2 linked regions of the Coturnix japonica genome follow. The protein of the gene in region 1 purifies or fractionates together with the protein of each later gene. This does not show direct contact. Links are inferred from orthologs where the notes say so. Each region holds a gene or a part of one and is shown on either strand. Other genes may lie near its edges.

Region 1 (4,261 bases):
CCACACTTAGGAAAAAGCCACATCTAAACAGACCTCTGTGTCTCACATGCAATCATAGCACCTAAATTTAAGGAGCATCAACTGGCTCCTTAATTACAAGAACCAACTTTTCCTACATGCTTAACCCCAAAGCTGTTTGCTTGGCTTGGTCACACTGACTTGCGGAATCAAACTCTATAATCCAGAGATGGGTTATAAAGCAGGTATGTTTATTCCAGCATTGCGCAGCACCGGGTGCAAGGGGGATAGCTCCACCAAACTTGCACACCGACTTGTAAAATCGTGACACAGATATAGGTACATTTAATACATAGTCAATGATTTCTCAGAATTCTGATACATATTCAATGATTTCTTAAACTTCTAATACATAGTCAGTAGTTCTAGGAATTCTGATCCATATTCAATAGCTCTTTAGCATACAGACCCCCTCTTGTTCTTATCAGGGGGAATGCAACTCCTCTTCTGGTCGTCTGTGAGGTCTCACTCCTTATCTGCAACCTCCCTGCTCTCCTAGGCCCCTTGTTTCTTTTACTTGTTACCTTTAAGTTTCCTTTACTTGTTTCTCTAAACTACCTTTAAGTTTCCTGCTTCACTGTTCAACACCAACATGTAACCAAGTCCAAATGAAACCACAGCAACAAACCTTGCTTCCTGCAGCCCGGGATTTTAATAAACGCCCCATATTCCGTCACAGCAGCCACCTGTGAAGAAAACCAACACAGCATTTAATCGAAAGCCTTTAAACATTTATTCTCACTATAGAACACACACAACATCCAGATTATTCGTGTGATTTGCTACAACTCCGGGCACCTCAGCAGGTTGGAGCCAATATAACTATATCATATGGGGCCAGCTGCTGCTGTGCTCTGCAGACAGGCATCCTATAGAGGCCGATATACACACGGTGCCATATATACATACATATATATACATATATATGTGATATACACACAGTGCACACACCTCGCCCTGGAAGATGGCGTACAGCTCAGGCAGCGGCTCCATCGCCTCAGCGCCGGGGGGTGACGCGCTGCGGGGCCTACGACATCTGCCAGCCGCCTCCAACTACAGCATGAGACCTAAAGATGCCTTAAAGGAAGAAAACCATATGGAGATCAGACGGACCCGCTACAAAACATCTCTAACTCGCTTCACTCTACGCTCACAGCCGCCATTAGGCCTCCTCCGCACCGCCCTCACCTGAGGGGAGTCTTCAGCCCGCCAATCAACGCGCGCGATACTGGCGGGAGACAAGCGCAGCCAATCGAAGTGACTCATGTTATCTAGTGCCCACCCCTTGACCTCTCCGGCCTCAGCCCGGCCAATCCGTGTGAGGAGCGCGCCGCGATCAAGCGCGGTTTATACGTCATCTCTATGCGACGGAAGGAAGAAGAGAGGAGGGTGGGACATCTGGAAGCGCTCGTCCAATCAGCTCTGCAGAAGGCCGCGCTGTTGGCCAATGGGGGGGCAGGCGGGCGCGCGCGGCCCGTGGCGATGATCGAGCAGCAGAAGCGAAAGGCGCCGGGCGGCCCCGTGCCAGGCCCCGCACCGGGTCCAGCTCCAGCTCCCGGCCCCGGCCCCGCTCCCGGCGCTGCACCCGGCCCCGCTCCGGGTCCCGATCTCCCGCTCGTGCCCTCGGCGGCCAAGCGGCCTCGCCATGACCCACCTGCGGCTGGAGGAGGGGGCGGAGGCGGCGGGCAGCCCCCGGCCGGTGCTTTGGTGCAGTCGGTGAGGCCTGTGAGGGGGGACGGGAACGGAGGGGACCTTCTCTTTTGTCCCTCTCTACTCGGCTCTTGTGAGGCCCCATCTGTTGTACCGTGTCCAGGTGTGGAGCCCTCAGTACAAGAAAGACATGGAGATTTTGGAAAGGGTCCAGAGGAGGAACAGGAAAATGATCAGGGGGCTGGAGCACCTCCACTATGAGGACAGGCTGAGGGAGTTGGGTTTGTTCAGCCTGGAGAAGAGAAGGTTGCGGGGTGACCTCATTGCAGCCTTTCAATACCTGAAGGGAACTTACACCCAGGAGGGGAGTAAACTCTTGGAAAGGGCTGATAATAGCAGGACACGGGGAAATGGTTTTAAGTTAAAAGAGGGAAGATTTAGGTTGGATGTTAGGGGGAAGTTCTTCACTAGGAGAGTGGTTAGGCCCTGGAACAGGCTGCACAGGGAGGTTGTGGATGCCCCGTCCTTGGAGGTGTTCAAGGCCAGGTTGGACGGGGCCATGGGCAACCTGATCTATGGGGGGTCTATGGGGTCTCTATGGGGATCTATGGGGTCTCCTGGGCAACCTGATCTAGTAAAGGTGTATGTTTGGTGGCCCTGCTAGGCAGGGGGGTTGGAACTACATGATCCTTGAGGTCCCTTCCAACCCGGGTCATTCTGTGATTCTCCTTGTGCCCCTGCTCCGGATCCCCCTCACCTCCCCTTGTTCTCCCGCAGGGTCCCCCGCGCTGCTCCTCGCTGCAGGCGCCCATCATGTTGCTGTCGGGGCACGAGGGAGAGGTGTATTGCTGCAAGTTCCACCCTGGAGGAAACACCTTGGCGTCTGCTGGCTTTGACAGGCTGATCCGTGAGTAGCAGGCCAGGCTTCACCACCCCTAATTTAAAAATCATTGTCTTATATCCCATTAAAACCTCCCATCTTTTGGTTTGAAACCACTTTCCTTTGTGCAGTCACAGCAGATCCTGCTGGAACATCTGTCCCTTCTTTCTCATAGCTTCCCTTTAGGCTGCTATCACACCTCCCCTCATAGCTTCCCTTTAGATACTGAAAGGCAGCTATCACACCCCCCTACAGCCTTCTCCGGGCTGTGGATCTCTCAGCCTGAATTAGATGTATTATATTGTCCACTTTCCTCTGTGCTGTTTCTCTAGTGCTATGGAATGTCTATGGGGACTGTGATAACTACGCCACCCTGAAGGGACACAGCGGGGCGGTCATGGAGCTGCACTATAACACGGATGGCAGGTAAGGGGTACGCTGGTAAATTCCTGCCCATTCCCCACTGTTTCTAAGGGAAGATGTTTTCTGCTGGCCAGAGCCCTGCACAGCACCTCTTCATTGCCCCAGCCCAGCCAGCAGCCCTTGCAACAAACACTTCTACTGTTCCAGATTAGGAGCTGAGCATTGGCTCTGGAGCCACTTGTGACATATAAATACCTTTGGCTTCAGTCTTCAGAAATCTGAGTGCTCATGTTGATGATGTAGGAACTGTAGTTGCTTAACAAGGGAAAGAAAACACGCATGCATCTGTACCAGGAGGTTGCTAGACTTTTCTTTCTCTCTTCCCATCACAGACTGTGTCTGAAGAGTCAGAAATCCTATCTGTAATTTTATATAGAAATGGGGTTTGGTGAAAGCACCTCCTCTGTATTTGTTCTGCTGCCAATCAGCCTGCTGTGAAAGATCACAGTTGTCTTTGCATGTTGGGCATAGTTCTTAATAGTACTGGGGCCAATTTCATTTAATATCTTTATCAGATCTTCATCAGATCTGCACCACCATGAAACCAGCAGGTGACACCAAGTTGGGCCGGAGTGTTGCAGATAGATCTGGGTAGGCTGAGTTGATGGTCTGAGTCCAGTTATGTGACGTTCAACAAAGCTAAGTGCTGGGTACTGCACTTGGATCACAACAACCCCATGCAGTGGTATAGGCTCAGGGAGAGTGGCTGGAAGGGTGACGTGTGGGAAAGGATCTGGGCAGTTGTAGAGAGCAGTGAGATATCCTGCCAGCCACCTTTCCTCCAGTCAAAACAATTTAGTTTCCCTCAGCAGCTGTATCAAGAAAGGTGGCTGTAGCAAGAAGGATGTCAGTTTTCAGGTGACAAGTTACAGGACATGATCTTTTCAACCAGAATGAATGTCTGATTCAGTGGCGCGCTGACAATATTTCAAGCTTTGACATCAAGTCTGGAGAGTAAGAAAATAGGGTGGGAGAAAAGCTTCTGACATTGAGAATCTCACAGTGATTCTTCTCCACAGCATGCTCTTCTCAGCATCCACAGACAAGACTGTGGCTGTGTGGGACAGTGAGACTGGAGAGAGAGTAAAGAGGCTGAAGGGCCATACCTCGTTCGTGAATTCCTGCTACCCAGCAAGGCGAGGACCTCAGCTTGTCTGTACGGGCAGTGATGATGGGACAGTGAAGGTCAGTATAAGGAGATTAGTTACTGAAATCTTTTATTCAATTGCCTTGTTCCCTCATATTTTTCTTTAAAATCTGGGAATTCCTGATTGGAACAAGTTGCCCAAG
Region 2 (4,505 bases), on another chromosome or scaffold:
TCGTCTAAATTGTTTGTTTTTTACCCCCTCATTGGCTTCTCAGTAAGGAAATAGATCCTCTCCACGTTACTTCTTGACGTCAGAAGCAAAGCTGGAACTGGAAGAGATTGGTATTTTTTCCTTTCTCAAGATGTGATAAACTTGAATTCAGTGTATGTGGAGCTGAAACATACCCACTTTTGTTACATTTCTACTTTGAGTCAATATTTTTTTGCCTTTAACTGACACAGAAATGTCAGGAAACAGGTGACGGCAAACAAAGCATAGCACAGATCCGGGGTAAACCAAGGCAGGGAGATGTGACCAGATCTGTGGCTTTTTTCATCTTAGTTCACCGTACAATTCTTAATAGTTTTGTGGCTGTAAAAATTGAATTAGTTGTTCTTCGAAGATTAGCAGGAGGCAGTAGCTGTGAGCATTGGGCTACTTGAGTGAACCAGTGGCAATGGCACAATTGAATGGGTAAATCAAGGACAGGCGTGACTGGGCAATGCTTTTTGGTACCAGCTACTGATAGCATGGGCTGGCCATGACATTGGACCTGAATCTGTTAATTAAAGCAAGACCATGCCAGCTTGTTATTTAGGTATGACACTATGTGGAAAGCTTCTGGGCTCTTAAAACCAATATCTTTCCAATCCATATAGAAACTTCCATTTTCCACACAACACAGGACTCCTTTTGTGAGGGGAAATGGCATCTTCCAAAACCACATGTTAAAAGTGTACCTTAGGATCGCAACCCTTGAGCTCAGTTCTGTTTAATAACAGTGGGAATGTGATATAAAGCAAGCTGGAAGTCAAGCTGAAGAAACAAGAGAAAGTTACTGCAAATTGATCTTCGTGGTGAACCCAAGCATGTGACGGTTACTTAAAATAGTTGCAGGCATTAAATTCCTGTAGTAGGGAATTAGTGTCTGCCTTGACCTTATCCTCACACGTCTCTCAACAGCTCGGTATATATCTCTGTTCCATAGCCTACGAGTGCAGGATGTGAGTTTAATAATACTAAAGAGCAGATCCTCTGTGCTTTCACATGAATCTCAAGTATATTTCAACACATGCAGTTATGCAAAGTATTACAAGCACTGAATTGCTCAGTAAACTTCTGTAAACTAAGCGATAAAAAAGCAAATGCAGACACAGGGATGGACTGACTGATCAAACTCATGTTCTCAAACACAAAACATTGGCTTTAAGTCAGACTTGGATCTCAGGTCAGTGTTGGTGCTTCATGTGGGCTAGACTTTGCATATAACATGGCTATTAGCAGTGCTAGGATTGGATTTACTCCTGCTGTGGCTCCACGCTGCGATGGATACATGTTTACTATCAACCCCTGGCTATATTCTCAGCGCTCTATGTGGAGCACAGGCATTATGGAGCATTAGTGCATGTGGAGCATTAGGCAAACAGCAGCTCAGCATTAACGTACAAACCGCCGCCATCTTGCGGCAGAGGCCCCGTAGCACGCAGTGCTCAAGCCACATCCCCACCCCTCCGCCTCGCCGCACCGCTATTGGCCACTTGTCTTCCACGCCGCATTCCTATTGGCTGGCAGAGACGTCAGTCAGACGGAGGACGTGGCTCCGATCTCGGCCTGCGGGGCCGCCCGGCCGCCCGAGTGGCGCTTTTGGCCGCCGTCACTGCGCTTGCGCAACGCCCCAGCCCTCGGCCAGCCGCGGCGCGGCCCGCAACTGCGCGTGCGCAGTACTGCCTCGCCTCCCTCCTCCCCCCCCCCCCGAGCGGAAGCGCTGGGGCCGCGGCAGTTCCGTGTCGGTGTTGTTGGCGCTGGACAAAATGGCGAAGATCGCCAAGACCCACGAAGGTAAAGGGCTGAAATCCGCTCCTGGCGGTTCTTTTTTAAGCTGCGTGCACCTTTCGCGTCTTCTAATCCCGTTATACTCCGTCCGCAGCCCTCAGTGGTGCCGGGGTTATGGCTGCCGGGCCGGGCCGGGCCCGCTCGTAATGGCGTCGCCGCCCATATGAGCGCCATGGCCGGGCCGCCCGGCGCTGCGGGGTTGTGCGGGCGGTGCGGAGCGCCGTGCTGCCATTGATAGAACGGCGCCATCCCGACGGCAGCTACAAGATGTCGCCCGCCGAGGTGCCCCCCCTTGGTCGGGAGGCGCCATGTAGAGAGTGCTCGGTGCCGCCGCTGGGCGGGTCCATAGCGGAGCTGCTGTGGCGGGGGCTCTCCCTGCTCCCCGCACGGCTTCCCGGGCGGCATCGCTTGTGGGCGTCTCGAAGCAAACAAAGCCAGTTGTTAGCATTAGCTCTGTGCGATTGCTGGCCTGCTTTTCCTCCTGTGTGTGTGTGTGTGTGTGTGTGGCGGGTGAGCTGCGAGAGGCCGTGTTAGTTACTGTTAGTTGCTATTAACGGTGCAGTGAGACAAGAGGAGGAGGAATATGGGCACAAAGGGTTGGAGTTTTTGAGTGAACTCTGTCCAGATGTAGCCCTGTTGTATGATGAGAAACTGCTGATCGATTTAATGTAAACTATGTGTTTAAATGCTTGGAAGACCTGATCTTCAGGCGGTTTCAGATTGTTTTCTGTATTAAATCCCTTGGGTTTGTTCCTGAGGCAGGAAGGGCTGTGTGCAGACGGACAGCTCAGAGCTCTCCAGCTTATAAGTAAGATCAATTTCAAAGTATGCGGAGATCTGAGGAAGCAACATCCTACGGTCCAAGGTTTAAAGTCCTACGTTCCCTTAACACCCTCGCTGCAATCTAAGTATATGCAGTGTATGTTTTACCAGGCTGTAACGTAAGAAGGGAAGTTTGGGTCCCATGTTTCTTGCACCACGTTATTTTTAAATGCTGTAACCATGTGAGTGTTTCTTTCACTGTGAGGACTTGGTTGGATTCACACACTTGGTGTAGTGTCCTTCCAGTGTCTTCAGTAGCACTGGAAGCCTCAGGTATTTCGTTTCACCCCAGTGCTGCATTGCAGCAAGCTGCAAACAAAATCAAGAACTTGATCTGCCCTTTGAAGTAGACAAGAAACTAGAAACACGTAACAAACCTGGCGGGGTCAAAGTGCTTCTTGGAGTTGTTTTGGTTTCACAGTCGAGTGATGGGACAACTGTGCAAAAATGAAATGCCTGAAGGAGTTGTTGGTTGATGGAGTACGTGTGGGATGTCTCTGAAGTTTCTTTCTGGTATTTATTAATTATTTATTAATGTACTTAGGAGCACAATGTCTGCAGTCCTGAAGAACCTGTGCTGGGAAGCTGGATGCACAGGCAGAGTTCAGCTGGGGCTGATGGCCAGCAATATAAGGCTTTCGTTGGGCTTCAGCTCTCATGAATCTCCGGGCAGGTAGCTGGGTTCCTTCAGTGTGGAGGTGACTGTGCCCCACGTAGCTATTAAGCTCTGGCCAGCCTGCAGCTGAATTAATGATGATTTTATCTTTATTCTTAACTTTCTTAATTTGTATTCATAGGCATCTTCTGCAAGCTGCCTCTGAGGAAAAGTATTGTGAGATATATTAGTCCTGAAGAAGATAGAAGATGAGCAACAGTAGTAAATAGCTCAGGAGCGTGTGGTAGAGTTTCTGGGTGATTTGCTAGTGTAACTTCTATGCAGCTTTTGGAAATGGATGAATTTCCCTCCAATTAACATCATAGGCAGTAGGACTTCAGATGGGGAGGGGGAAGCACAGAATTGTTGAGGTCAGAAAGGGCATTTGAGATCTAGTCCAGCCCCTGCAAGCATGAGCCTTGCTATTCTTTCACCCAACAAGAGCAAATACAGATGAAAACAATTATTTTAGTGGAATTATGTGTTTCCTTGTTGTGCCTGAGTCTTGATCTTGTTTATTGAAGGCAACTGAATGACCACAGCTGATTTGCCTGTTGCTTTTACCAGTGCATGGGAGGGAGATTGGTTAAATTTGATTCCTTGGTGTTGGGGATTACTGACTTAGTGTTCTCTCAAACGGTGCCAAAGGTGCCAAATTGCTGAGGTCGGTGACTGACCCCAGGGGTAATGGGTGTCAGATCCTGATATGTTGGGAGTGCCAAAGCTCCTGTTGGCCCTCATTAATGGATAGGCAAACAGTTCAGCAGAGCAGTGGTCTCTTCGCAGGTGGTGGCAGAGGCAGGAGTTGTCTCAAGCTGGTTACATTGAGCTGCCTGAGATGGGAGCTGTGGCTGAACTTCTGCCTGTGTTGTCAGGCTGTTTTGTTGGTTCAAACGTAATATAGTGTTGCAGCATAGTGGATATTTTATTCTTGAATAAGGTGTTCTTCTGTTGCACGTTCCCATGTGTCTACTCACACGCTTCCTCCTTTAAACAGGTTTCTTTTAATAAACTGATTGTGCTGATTTATCGATGGTAACATCTCAGTAGCTGCTTTTAATGAAAAGATTACATTAATTGACAAAGCCCTGTACCATCTAGTGTTGAAAAATACTGTTGTGCTGTAATTACCTTCCCCACCATCGCTTTGGAAGATCGGATGGGTTAATGGTAATAGTTTTGAATGGTTTGCTTCAGACCACAATAC

What was found.
Region 2: the proteins of SNRNP40 (region 1) and SF3B1 purify together in Homo sapiens (co-immunoprecipitation; 3 studies listed by BioGRID and IntAct, with this or other methods). This does not show direct contact. The link is inferred for Coturnix japonica from reciprocal best matches to the Homo sapiens genes SNRNP40 and SF3B1.

The regions. Positions count from the first base shown.
Region 1 is NC_029538.1:606,562-610,822, reverse strand, and holds the start of SNRNP40 (U5 small nuclear ribonucleoprotein 40 kDa protein), read left to right. Parts: upstream 1-1,447; 5' UTR 1,448-1,500; coding exon 1,501-1,734; intron 1,735-2,445; coding exon 2,446-2,575; intron 2,576-2,880; coding exon 2,881-2,974; intron 2,975-3,990; coding exon 3,991-4,156; intron 4,157-4,261. Other genes in the region: ZCCHC17 (nucleolar protein of 40 kDa), read right to left, coding at 647-704, 970-1,011. UniProt on the Homo sapiens protein: Required for pre-mRNA splicing as component of the activated spliceosome. Component of the U5 small nuclear ribonucleoprotein (snRNP) complex and the U4/U6-U5 tri-snRNP complex, building blocks of the spliceosome.
Region 2 is NC_029522.1:26,696-31,200, forward strand, and holds the start of SF3B1 (splicing factor 3B subunit 1), read left to right. Parts: upstream 1-1,696; 5' UTR 1,697-1,799; coding exon 1,800-1,827; intron 1,828-4,505. UniProt on the Homo sapiens protein: Component of the 17S U2 SnRNP complex of the spliceosome, a large ribonucleoprotein complex that removes introns from transcribed pre-mRNAs.